Caenorhabditis elegans: one gene and its partner. The protein of the gene in region 1 purifies or fractionates together with the protein of each later gene. This does not show direct contact. Each region holds a gene or a part of one and is shown on either strand. Other genes may lie near its edges. The genes, in order: utx-1 and wdr-5.3.

What was found.
Region 2: the proteins of utx-1 (region 1) and wdr-5.3 purify together in Caenorhabditis elegans (affinity purification with mass spectrometry, with the first as the bait; one study listed by BioGRID). This does not show direct contact.

Annotation. Positions count from the first base shown.
Region 1 is NC_003284.9:8,555,173-8,563,178, forward strand, and holds the start of utx-1 (JmjC domain-containing protein), read left to right. Parts: upstream 1-1,978; 5' UTR 1,979-2,007; coding exon 2,008-2,073; intron 2,074-2,125; coding exon 2,126-2,202; intron 2,203-2,255; coding exon 2,256-2,582; intron 2,583-2,631; coding exon 2,632-2,752; intron 2,753-3,084; coding exon 3,085-3,225; intron 3,226-3,279; coding exon 3,280-3,552; intron 3,553-3,668; coding exon 3,669-3,788; intron 3,789-3,932; coding exon 3,933-4,065; intron 4,066-4,756; coding exon 4,757-4,941; intron 4,942-4,988; coding exon 4,989-5,213; intron 5,214-5,641; coding exon 5,642-6,514; intron 6,515-6,569; coding exon 6,570-7,159; intron 7,160-7,207; coding exon 7,208-7,396; intron 7,397-7,580; coding exon 7,581-7,701; 3' UTR 7,702-8,006. Other genes in the region: dhhc-14 (Palmitoyltransferase), read left to right, coding at 34-134, 553-723.
Region 2 is NC_003283.11:10,735,399-10,740,147, forward strand, and holds wdr-5.3 (WD repeat-containing protein wdr-5.3), read left to right. Parts: upstream 1-1,717; 5' UTR 1,718-1,719; coding exon 1,720-1,851; intron 1,852-1,893; coding exon 1,894-2,511; intron 2,512-2,554; coding exon 2,555-3,015; intron 3,016-3,070; coding exon 3,071-3,179; intron 3,180-3,527; coding exon 3,528-3,713; 3' UTR 3,714-3,923; downstream 3,924-4,749. Other genes in the region: Double-strand break repair protein mre-11, read right to left, coding at 1-24, 72-864, 914-1,018, 1,066-1,136, 1,192-1,269; ZC302.3 (uncharacterized protein), read right to left, coding at 3,924-4,055, 4,104-4,190, 4,235-4,344. UniProt on the Caenorhabditis elegans protein: Not required for methylation of histone H3 'Lys-4'.

The DNA of each region.
Region 1 (8,006 bases):
ATCCGAAAAATATATGAATATTTATTTTTACAGAAGAATTCCTGGAAACTGACGCGTTCTTGATGATCACCATCATTCTCTCGGCGATGCACGCACTCATGCTTGCCGTGCTGTTCTGTGTTCAAATGAACCAGGTAAATATTTCATGAATCAGGCAAATATTTTTCCTATTAGTATTGTATGCAATACTATTTTTGATAGTTTAAATTTAGTTCGAGATTACCTATTTTCAAATGAAACAGCTATTGTGTTAGGTGACGATTTAAAAAAAGTTGTTAAAAATAAATTAATTATTGACGTTTTTTTTGTTAATTGGTTGTTAGGAGTTTTATTATACATAGAAGACAATTGAACTGCAAATAATGAAAATCTTTGAAATTGGCATTTCCAACAAAATTAGGATTGCTAGAGACTTGAACACAAATTTTCGTGGACACATTTAAATGCGTTATTGATAGCAACAGCCACATTACTAATAGAGAACATTCGGTAATTCAATTTTAGAAATTATTCATTCTTGTTACAAAAAATTAAATACAATAATTATTATAGATCTCGCAAGGAGTGACGACCAACGATCGTATCAAAGCTCGCCGAGCTGGTCATGCCCATTCTCACTCCGGCTCCACTGACTACAATGTTATTCATCACAAGCCAAGCATCTCGAAACGGTGTCATAATCTTCTGGAATTCTTTTCCTCTAACGGCGATCCAAACTGGTGAAAATACAAATTCGGATTTTATCTTCATCGGACCTGAAAAACTTGCCCTGCTCCCCGGATTTTTCAAACTTGAGAATCAAAACTTTTCTATGGCATAACAAATCTATCAATAAAAAACAAAATACTTGTAAATGTGAATCAGAAACCTAAATTTAAATTTCATCCCCGCCCATTCCCCCATTCACAATCTACTCTTTTTCATTTTCTTTCAGTTTTACATGAGATACTTCACTTGTATAATTTGGTTGTGAAAAGATTTTAAATGCTCTCTATCTCCCTTTTTCCCTCTTTCATTTCCTTTTTTGTTAAACTTTTTGTACATTCCGGTTAGAATCAAGTGCTTGGAGATATTTGAAGTTTTCCATCAGTTTTCTTACTTTGCTCTTCTCTCTTGCGTATTTCCGAGATCTCTTTTTCTTTACTGTTTTCCTAGATGTAAATAAATTTTCTTGAAATTAAACAAGAACTCAGTTTGTGTTGTCCAAAATCTTGGATTGTAACTTTTTTTTCCAGCGGTCTTCCTGTTGTTAATCTCAAAAAGCTCAGGTTTTAAAGTAATAACTTCTACAACAAGATCCACAATAATGTACTGGTTGCTCTCAAACAAAGTGGATCAAAAACTTAATGTGAAAAAGACATTTCAAAAAACTATAAAGATACCAAAGTTCTATTACTATTGGCAATATTGTTCAAGATTTGTGTTAGTTTTTTATTTACATATTTTTGAAGAATAAAGCAGAGTAGCTTGACAATATTCTTAGCATGGAATTTTTCATAACTCATGTTCTCTCGATTTTACAAATTTCTGAATGAGATTCAGTTCCACTTTGTGCGGTATTGCGAAATCTGCATATATTCACCCTTTCCACAAATTGCCCCCTGACGACCCCAATCCATACTTGCGCACACCATCGACCCACTCCTTGTCCGCCCAAGCGTTTCTAACCGTCTGCGCGTCCGTATACCGAGCACTACCTCTCCATTTCCCCCTCCACCATTCGCCAAACAGGCACAGTAGAGACGGGCTGCGAACGCACGGCAATGGCAACGATACTCCGTTTCTAACGTTGATCTTTGTTTAATAAACCATACTATTTGAATTAAGACACAGTATTGACCAGTTCACAGTGCTCTAATTGATTTTTTGTGCTTATTTTCTTTGTCAAAACTTGATTAAGATTTCTCCAAGTTATGTTTCCTACAATTCTCTTATGTGTATGTATTTTATTATTACTAAATCGCTGCAGTTTTTCCAGATTTGTATAATTCCCAAAAAGTCTTGTGCATGAACACCGTATCGCTTCTCACACCGCCAATGGACGAATCAGAACCTCTGCCGGAGGAGCGTCATGTAAGGATTACTTGTTTTTAGTGCGCAAAAGTTAAATTTTCTCATTTTTCAGCCTGGAAACTTTAAAAAATGGCTGGAACTGCCCCTTCTGACAAATTATGAACTGGAAAGGATTCGCACATTAAGCAGGTTGAAAAATTGTCACAAGATTGCAATAAAGTAAATATTTTTTTAATTTTCAGTTTATCATTCGACGAGTTTCACGTTCAAAACCCAGCCGATCTCACTTATCAAGTCAGATTGTTCTTTGCAAAAGCCCGCCAATACCTTGTCAGATATGTGGATGAGATGAAGAGCATTTATAAAACGCACAAGTACAAGACAATCGAACGGCGCATTTTCTACGGATTGGCGAAACAGTGTCACGTTGTTCTTTTGGCAAATGATTGGACCGGAGCACTGGAGCTTTATCAAGAAGTGTTGAGCCATCATCCTGACCTATTCTCACATGATCCTTCGATGTACTTCGGGTTAGGTCTTGTCTACTTGCATTTCAAACAGTGGAAACCGTGAGTTTTTGTTTTTTTGTTGTGAATAATCTGAAACAAAATCTTCTAGTGCAATCGAGGCATTCACAAGACTGCTATATAGTTTTCCAACCGGTATGATCGCATTGCAAGCAAAAGTTCGTCTTGGAGTGTGTTACATGGAACTTGAAGATTACAACAGATGCATAAATGTAAGTATTAAGAAAACGATCTGAAAAAGTTATAAGTTGAGACATAAAAAAAACAAGTTTTAATTGCATTCAATGCGTTATTAAAATTTGTAGTGTTTCTACAATCTTTCTTAATTAAACTTTTGGTAAGTCTTACCATCAGCTTTCTCGAGCAAACTGGCAGTTTTCCCACAACTAGTTGTGGAAAATTAGCTAGATACTCTACAAAGCTAGATCAAAAGACCGAGAATACGCATGCTTTTGCAATAAAAAGCTATACTCCAGAAACTTTACAATGCGTAAAATTTCGTAAAATCTTTTCAGTTATTTAATAAACTTATTATATTTTACAGCTGTTCAAACTTGCCGTCAACGACAGTGATGAGTCAGTATTTATGCCGAAATTCACAATTAAGTACAACATTGCTCTGAGCCACGAGAATAATGATGAGCTTGAAATTGCAGAATCAGAATATGAAAACCTAATAACTGAAGTGAGTAGTATCACCAAACAATGTTAAAAACAAAAAAAAATCGAATAATTTCAGTTAACACAACACATCAGTTTCTTACAAAGCAAGTCGAATGTGGATCAACAACAAGTTGACTTATTGATAAGTGTGAAAGCAGCATGTTTGCGACAAATTGGCTGGATTTCATATCGCCGCTCTTATAAAGACGATGCAAATCGTCTGGATCATTTGAAGAAGGCCCAAGAGAATCTCATTAGTGCACATGATACAGATCCACGAGATGGACAAAGCTACTACTATCTGGGACGAGTCTACGGGGAACACGAGCCTAGTGTTAGTGGACAAGTGGTTTGTGTTCATTTTGTTCCTTAACAATCTTAAAAAATAACTTGTTTTATTTCTATTAACCTCTAATTTTCAAAAAAAAACGTTAGGAAAATAATTTAATTCTTCCTGAATTTAAGGCACACGATGCGTTTGTCAACTACCGGTTTTCGATTGACAAAAAAGAGCAGAATGCGGACACGTGGTGCTCAATTGGAGCTCTGTATCAGCGACAAAATCAACCCATTGATGCTCTTCAGGTATGTTCAGGAATCAAAATTAGAGTTTTTGGAAACAATGTGCACAGTGTGCAAGATCAGAGCAATTCTCAAAACAATGGCGTATGCCCACCCCAATCTTTCCAATAAATGCCTCCAATTTTTAATATATTGAACACGTTTTAGGCATTCATATGTGCAATTGAGCTGAATTCAACACATTCTGCGGCATGGACAGATCTCGGAGAGCTTTATGAGAAAAATGCCCAGTACCAAGATGCGCTGGAGTGTTTCAAAAATGCAATGCTGAACAATCCAGGTATGTTGATGGTTTCCTGAAAGAAAAAGTAGAAGAATATAAATAAATTATAACTTTTCTGGAAAAACCAAATTGAAATTTCTATCAAAAAATGTTGTGAATGAATCAGTTTCAATATGATTTTCTTCATTTCTTATCAGCCAATGATACTTGCCTGTCTATAGTAGAATGGGTGTCGCTAAATTTGCTATCGCCAAACATTGAATGTAAACTTAAACGAAAATATAAGAGAAATGAAAGGATATAACAGAAGCACAACTAATCTGCTTAATCTCTAGTCACCAGATAAAATTTCCACGTGATTGGAAAATATATTTAAAGGAAGTATGACAACATTTATGACAACGACTGAAAAATGTTTAAGAAAAAAACCAAGTTGTTTCAATTGTAATGGTCTTTTCTAAGAAAGCTCTGATAACAAACAACATTCATTTTGAAATTAGCAATACACACTGTAAGTGTTTCCAAGTTGAAAATGTTTAATAAAATAGAAGACGTGACAAATGAAACGCAGTATCCATTAAAAAGAGAAACAATATATTTCATTGCAGTTTTGAGTTTTTCAAGTTTTAGGAAGGTGAGCTTGTAAATGTAGGTTAAATGTAAAGCTAGAGGCTGTTTTGAGTGAGTAGTAGTAATTAACGATTTCAGATTTTTTAAAGAACAAACTAATGTTATCATGACATTTCAGTTGCTCCGGAACCAATCAAAGCTCGTGTACAATTTCTTGAAAAAGAACTCTCGATGCCTGTGCCCGCACGTCCCTCAAATCACGCCTCGTCATCAACATTTGAAACCGTGATACCTTCATTGAAAGAAGCTTATGAGCAGCCAATACCTCTAGAGCTTCGTAATCGTCAAGACGCTGCCTATGCTGTAAGTGATTGTTGTCATGTGCGTTTTTTTGAAACCACAATTTTTAGGACAGAGAAGCTCAGTATGACAACGCGTTTTGGGATCTTTGGGAAGATTTCAGAACAATGGAGCATGAAAAGCCGGAAGATATGGAATGGGATGTAACGTATCCAAGGCCAATGGAAGATCTCGAAATCCAGGTTATGCAGTTGCTTCGTGCCAACGAACCAGCTTTAGTAAAAGCTGAGAGAGAAGTTCTTGAGTGTTTGGAAACCAGCGAGGCAGTGTTTAAGGTAATAAGAGCTCAAATAGCTGACAAACACAGGCCAGTGAAAAATGCGAGCAAAAAAGGCCAAACACGGCTTAGAAGTCATACTCTTTTCATTAGTGTATGATAGCTATACATTTATGCCAGTACATCAAGGGAAGTGATGATGCAGTTGCTGCCAGGGCGGCCGCCAGTGTTGCTTCTAACATTAAAAAAGGAAAAAAACGAGAGAATTTCATAGCGTATCTGTTGCACAAATCTCTTGAGTAGACGCAATGAGCCTAATTATAAAGCTTTTCTATGTTCTATTGTCGCATGTAAAATATATTCTGAATAACTGAAGCGTGATCAGAACTGAAAGTTAAAGTTGTGACTCACTTTTTCTGTAATCTGAAACATTTGAAAACCATAGGGATTATTAAATGGTTTATTGAAAAACATTAAATTTTTCAGGCAAAAGTTATTGAATACGTAATTCCGGAAGCCGTTCGTGAAATGCCACGTGTCACCGAGGAAATGATCCAAAACCTTCGCGACCATGGGCATCTACTTGAATCGCCGAGATGCTACAGCTTCCCATTCTTACCGAAAATTTCGTTTAATGACCTTCCGGATAGTTTCAGTTTGCTCTCGGAGCTCTATGTTTCAATGGATATCAGCGCTCAGGAAATTATGCAAATGGTTCATAGAAGAACTCAGCCAAACTCCACATACCTACCAGTGTTTGAAGAATTTGCGAAGTTACCCGAGCCACCACGAGGTCCCGTAAAGCCAATTGTAACAGATGAAGATGTACGCACGGCGCTAGAAAGGAGTGAAAAGCATCCATTAATTCTTAAAACCCCAATTCTTACGGTGGACAATAGGAAGGAAGCTCAAAGTCTGGAATTACAACGGTTTTTGGATGGGTCTACTATTTCTTGTATTCGTGGACTTACTGGTTGCCTTCGCCTCGATTTGTCGCTATTCTCCACGAAAGCAGTGGCAGAAATTGACGGAAACCAAGAAATTGAAATCCGAACTCAGTATCAACTACCACCAGAAACGAACTGTGATCATGCAAGTCAACAGACATGGCAATGTGTCAGTGATCCCTCGTACACAACAGTCAACAAGTATGCCGAGTATCAATCGGAATCGTTCAAGCACACGCTAAAGGGTGAAGCTGAGAAAATCAAGAAAAATGTGGGAGGAACACGTGGACCTTCTCCTAAAAGAATGAAATTGTATAAGCGAGCCAGCTCTCCACCGAAACATCTGAAGTCTATTAAATATGGAACTAATATTGATTTATCTGATGACACTAAATGGGGAAAACAGATCAACGTAAGTTTTTTTATTGCTCCATATTTTAAAACCAAACACAACTGCCGTTTTTCAGGAACTTTCTAAACTTCCTGCTTTTTGTCGCCTCATCGCCGGCTCAAACATGCTCTCCCACTTGGGGCACCAAGTTCACGGCATGAATACTGTTAAGCTTTTCATGAAAGTTCCTGGCTGCAGAACACCAGCTCATCAGGATAGCAATCACATGGCTTCCATCAACATAAACATTGGTCCCGGTGACTGTGAATGGTTTGCCGTTCCATACGAGTATTGGGGAAAGATGCATAAGTTGTGCGAGAAGAATGGCGTTGATCTTTTGACTGGAACATTTTGGCCTATTATCGATGACTTATTAGATGCAGGAATTCCAGTGCACCGTTTCACACAGAAGGCTGGAGACATGGTATATGTGAGTGGCGGAGCCATTCATTGGGTACAAGCTTCGGGATGGTGCAACAACATTTCTTGGAATGTGGCGCCACTCAACTTTCAACAGTTGAGCATCTCTTTGCTCAGCTACGAATACAACAAGCTGCGCCGATTTAAGAGTGAAGTTCCAATGCAATTAATGTGCTGGCAAGTAGCAAAGAATGTCAAGTTTACCAACCAGCTCATCTACAATACTTGCAAAGGTGTATTGATTAGGTGAGTAGCCTAAGAAGAACAATCAAGTTTGTAATAACTTTATTTCAGATCACTTGCATTCCTGAGAATGGTTGCCGATTATATCGTGTCTCAGAAGAAAACCATAAAAGCTCATACTCGAACAAGTGGAGAACAATCCCATTTCTGTATGACGTGCGAGTGTGAAGTGTTTTGTATTTTGTTCGTGAAGGATATTGGCGGAAAGTTTACAGTCTTCTGTGTATACTGTGCTAAATCGTAAGTTTTCAAAATTTTTGAACGTTTTGGGCTTAGAAATGGTTATTTTTTATGCCTAAAAATACAAAAACATTCAACACGTGATTCTGTATATTTTTGAAAAGTTACTTTTAAAAAATACACAAGTACTTGCGGAACCTCACTCAGAATTATAGTGGTTCGAAAAGAAAATGTGATTTTTCAGGCAAGGAATCGAAGGCTTCATAGCTCTTCAGCAGTTCTCGTTCACCGACTTGTACTCAATCTACGACAACATGAAATATATACCCGCAGCTAACAACAATAAGATGAGTTTCACTGCCTAGAAAGTTCTAGTTAGGACGTTTTAATCATTGCATATTTTATTTCACAAACCTGTTCCACTTGATGTGCCTCTCTCCCTCACCCCAAACATTTCCCCGTTTCAATTTTTGGCGAAAGCTCAAAAGGTCTCGTTCACTTATCTCAATCTTCTCAATTAGTTCATTTGTGTCCCTCTTTCGATACACTTCCAAAACTGTGAAAACCCAAATTTTAAACTATTTCCTCAATTTATCTGATCTCCTGTTTATTGTTGAACTTTTTTTTCAAACTGACTGCCATGTTTTACAAAACGTGGGATTGTTAGCTC
Region 2 (4,749 bases), on another chromosome or scaffold:
TGAAGCAAACTTTCTTCCTTTAATCTAAAAACCGATAGTTATATTTAAATTAAAATCGTTAAATCTTATACCTTTATTAGGAATGCATTTTTCTGCAGGGCTTCTTCCGGAGTGAGCGAAGTAGCAACAGTCGATCCTGGTTGAAGAATGTAAAATCCATCACCAACAGCTTCCGATGAAGCAACATATTGAGGATCAGGTTTACATTCGTGTTCGTGTCCCCAAATAAGAAGGTCAAAGAATTGAGGAATCAGAGATTCGGGAAGAAAGTTTCCTGTCGATCGGTGCATGGCTCTCCGTGGACGATTTTGATGGAGGACAAACAAATTAAACCAATCCTCGGCGCCAGCGTTTGGCCGCAAAAATGAAATACTATTATTTTTGAATGCTCGAACAAGACGATCATCTCTTTGACTTCCAATTCCGTATAACGCCAAACGAGTTTCTCCTTTTCTAAGCAAAATTGGTGAAACAATAAACTCCTGAATGTTGCTGTGCTTTCCAAACAGATTTACAAGTCCAGATTCGTGAAGAAGATCAAGAGCAGTAAGTCCTTTTCCTGATAGATCATCATGATTTCCATGAATTGTGAAAATTGGAAGACCGACATTCAAATTCTGATCGTAATAGTTCACGTGACCAAACACACTTTGATTAAAATTGACAGAAGCATCTGAGAGAAACTCCAACGCGATTGGATTCCCATTCAAGCAATATTGACGGAGCAATTGTGTAACACGATGTTGAACTTCTCTAGATGGATTATTTTCATGAAAAAGATCTCCTCCAAGTAAAATCATATCGACTTTTTGTTCAGTGGCAATTTGAAGCACTTCTTCAAAAGTGTTGACGGCATCCATATGACTGAAAATTTGATATTTTTTTTGAGACTTTATGTTCCAATAAAACTCACATGTTGGCTTTATTTTCTCCATAACCGCAATGAATATCAGTGGCAACGAGAATTTTGATGATGTCCTCAGATTCGTCATGAGCTGGCTCGTCTCCCTCGTCGAGACTGAAATAAATGTTTGTGATATTTTCGTCAAAATCAAAACAACGTACTCTTCAACCATAGTGTCGTTGGCAGCATCTGGCCTTTGTGAGCAGGGAACCTCGTCATCGTCGAGATGATCCTAAAATATTGACATTCACTTTTTTTTTAATCTTTAAAAATAATTTTTTTAATACCTGATTTCGGGTACGCGAAGATGCTGGCTCTTGACTATCTGGTACAAAGTCGTCAAAACTGTCATCACTGCCACACATGGCTCTGAAAGAAATATTGAATAAATGTTAACGATTTGTAAAATTGCGAAATTTAACAAGAAACTTTATGTTTCAGAAATATTTAGCGGCATAGCGCTACCAAACGTTAGCATTTTTTGCAATTTTCTATTTCCGGAAGAATTTTACCTTATGAAAATACGTTCTACAGTGAGAGAGTTATATTTTCGGACTTTAAACTGAAAAATGAGTTTGAAAAAATAGTTTGCGCGCGTGAAAACTTGAATTGGCCTAGAAACCTTTCCCGTGGCCGACATTATTCTGAGAATGTACTCCTCTCGAACAACATATAAACTCGGCGCCAAAACGTTTTTGTTTGCAAAATAGGCTGTCATTTCAGTATTTTCATCAGTTCGCACTTATTATTCTTATTCAATTGCTGACCAGATTTGAATAAATCACTTTTTAATATTCATTTTCTATATTGCAGAAATGAATCCCGAGCGGCAGGAAACAATATCGCCGAAAAATGTGCCGTTTCAGCCTGTTCCTACGCCAAATCAACAGAGTCTACAATCTCGCATGTTGGAATCCAATCAAGCTGTTCCAGATGCATTTCAAAAAGTGAGTCAGATTTTATTCATTGTTTAGACTGAGAAATATCAGGTTGCAGCTTGGAATCACTATAATGCAGTAGCAACACCGCCAATCGGAGTTCCTCAAACTGCGCGCCCTCCATCAAATCAATCACCACATCCAAATCCACCAGGCTATCCATATCAATCGCATCAACAACAATTTCACCCATTAGCAATAGCATTCCAGCAGCCGTTTGGATTACCGCAACAAGTGATCTACCCTCCACCACCACCAGGTTTTACGCCACATCGTGTTCAAGTATCACCCGTCGGACTTTTGGGACCTCCCGGATTCTTTCCGCAATTTGCCGGCTCAACAACTTCTCAAGGAAATCCATCAGAAGTTTCAGTCCGAACGAAATCTGCGGAGGGAACGACAGGTCCGATTGCTCCTTCTATCACTACAAAACCTACATCCACCATTCAAGTTGCACCTCCACGTGACCCAGTCGCACCTACGACATCATCTTCTGGAATCACCAAAAAGCCTGAAAATGGTGAATTTTCGCTAGTAAAAACGATTTCGGGACATACTAAGTCTGTATCTGTGATAAAGTTTTCGTATTGCGGAAAGTATCTCGGAACTGGTTCAGCTGACAAGCAAATAAAAGTATGGAACACCGTTGACATGACGTACTTGCAAACTGTAAGTAGGCTTTTTCATGCAGCTGTTATGTATTTTATTTCAGCTCGCCAGTCATCAACTAGGAATAAACGATTTTTCATGGAGTTCCAATAGTCAGTTCATAGCATCAGCTTCTGATGATACTACTGTCAAGATATTTGATGTTATCAGTGGAGCTTGTCTAAGAACAATGCGTGGTCATACTAATTATGTCTTCTGCTGCAGTTTCAACCCTCAATCATCATTGATCGCATCTGCTGGATTTGATGAAACAGTTCGTGTTTGGGATTTCAAAACTGGACTCTGTGTTAAATGTATTCCTGCTCATTCGGATCCAATTACATCTATATCGTACAATCACGATGGAAATACAATGGCTACTTCATCATATGATGGATGTATTCGTGTATGGGATGCAGCTAGTGGTTCCTGTCTAAAGACACTTGTCGATACAGATCATGCCCCCGTTACTTTTGTATGCTTCTCACCAAATGGAAAATATTTGCTATCGGCGCAACTTGACAGGTAAAAAATAATATGAAGTAACATATGGAAAAGTGAATAATTGTTTGTTTTTCAGCAGTCTCAAGCTATGGGATCCAAAAAAGGCGAAACCATTGAAATATTACAACGGTCATAAAAACAAAAAATATTGCCTTTTTGCAAACATGTCGGTCCCACTTGGAAAGGTAAATTTTTTAAAGATCTTGAAAGTGTCGAAGACTAAGCCTGGGCCACAAAGACAAATAAAATAGATAAACGGCCGACATATGCAATATATAATGATAACTCAATTAGAATCCAAATTTTTGGTTACTGTAACAAGTATAAATGGGCGAAATTTCGGACTTTAAATAACGAAATTTGACGTTTTTTTTTCTAATTCTGACCGGCCATAAATTTTTAAATAAAAAAATTTCACCATTCTTTAAATAGTAATTTTGTGTAGATCTAGTCAGCTTCGAACGTTCAACTTTTTGAAAAATATGTCCATTTTGTTAAAAAGAATTTCCGTACAACAAAGCCCCAATTTCCAGCATATCATCAGTGGTTCTGAAGATGGACGTATACTTGTATGGAGTATTCAAACAAAACAAATCGTACAAATATTGGAAGGTCATACTACTCCCGTTTTGGCAACGGATTCTCATCCAACACTCAACATCATTGCTTCTGGTGGACTAGAGCCCGACAACGTTATTAGAATCTGGCGTCGAAACTAGAATTAAAAATATAGAAAATAGCACTGACTGCACTTTCAAACTCTTTCATTTGTATCATGGTTTTTTATTTTCCCCGTTTCTTTCATCAACTGAAATATGATCTCGGTTGTCTTTTCTTGTAGCATATTTTAAGGTTCGATATCAATTCAGATCTCCTCCTCATCACATTACTAAATATTTATTCAAGGAATATACTATTTCTATTTTGTACTATGTTGACAATAAATGGCTCAATGAACTATCGATTTTCAGTTGTTGTAGGAGCCATGCTCCAATGTTCTCTTTGAATTTTGAGTCGATCTCATTCAGTTCACCGATCACTTTCCGAACTCTTTTATCGTCCTGAAGTTAAACATATTCAAAATCTAGTAAAATGCAAAGGGCAATTACCATAAAAAACTCGTAAGCTTCTGCTTTCATAGTGGCATCCTTGATCTTTTTCACAAGTTGTGATGGAGATCGAGAGTCGTTTCGATTCTTAAAATTCTAAGATTTTTAGAATAATTTTTCGACATTCCTACCGCTTTGTAGTTTAGATACTCAGTTTGTAGAGATACAACCCGATCCAAATAAATTAGTGATCGTTGTTCATAATGAGAATTGGATGCGGTTTTACGACAATTCCAGTACTCTGAAAATAGTGTTTCTTGGTTCAAAATGTTTATTATGGAGACGCAGAAAAATGCCCCTTTTGAAATCGTGCTCCACGGCCACTTCAATAAGTTCCGCCCTTGAACCATTGGTCTCGTTAGGCATTGGCGGGAAACCCAGAAGTTCAAACGTTTTCAATTTTTTCTCTAATTTCAAGCGTTTTTCATCGTTTTGCTATTTTTCCCGTTGTTTCTAATAGTTTTTAGGCCGAAATAATGTTTTAAAGAAATGAAAATGCAAATTGAAAAATTGAAAAGGTGAATAAGGTTTTTTTGAAGGAATTATATTTTTCACCGTTTTGCCATTAAATACCTAACGGGATCCATCATTCTGGGGGCAGAGCGTTTTCAATTGGCTGTAGAGCGCGTTTCTATGAAGAATGGAA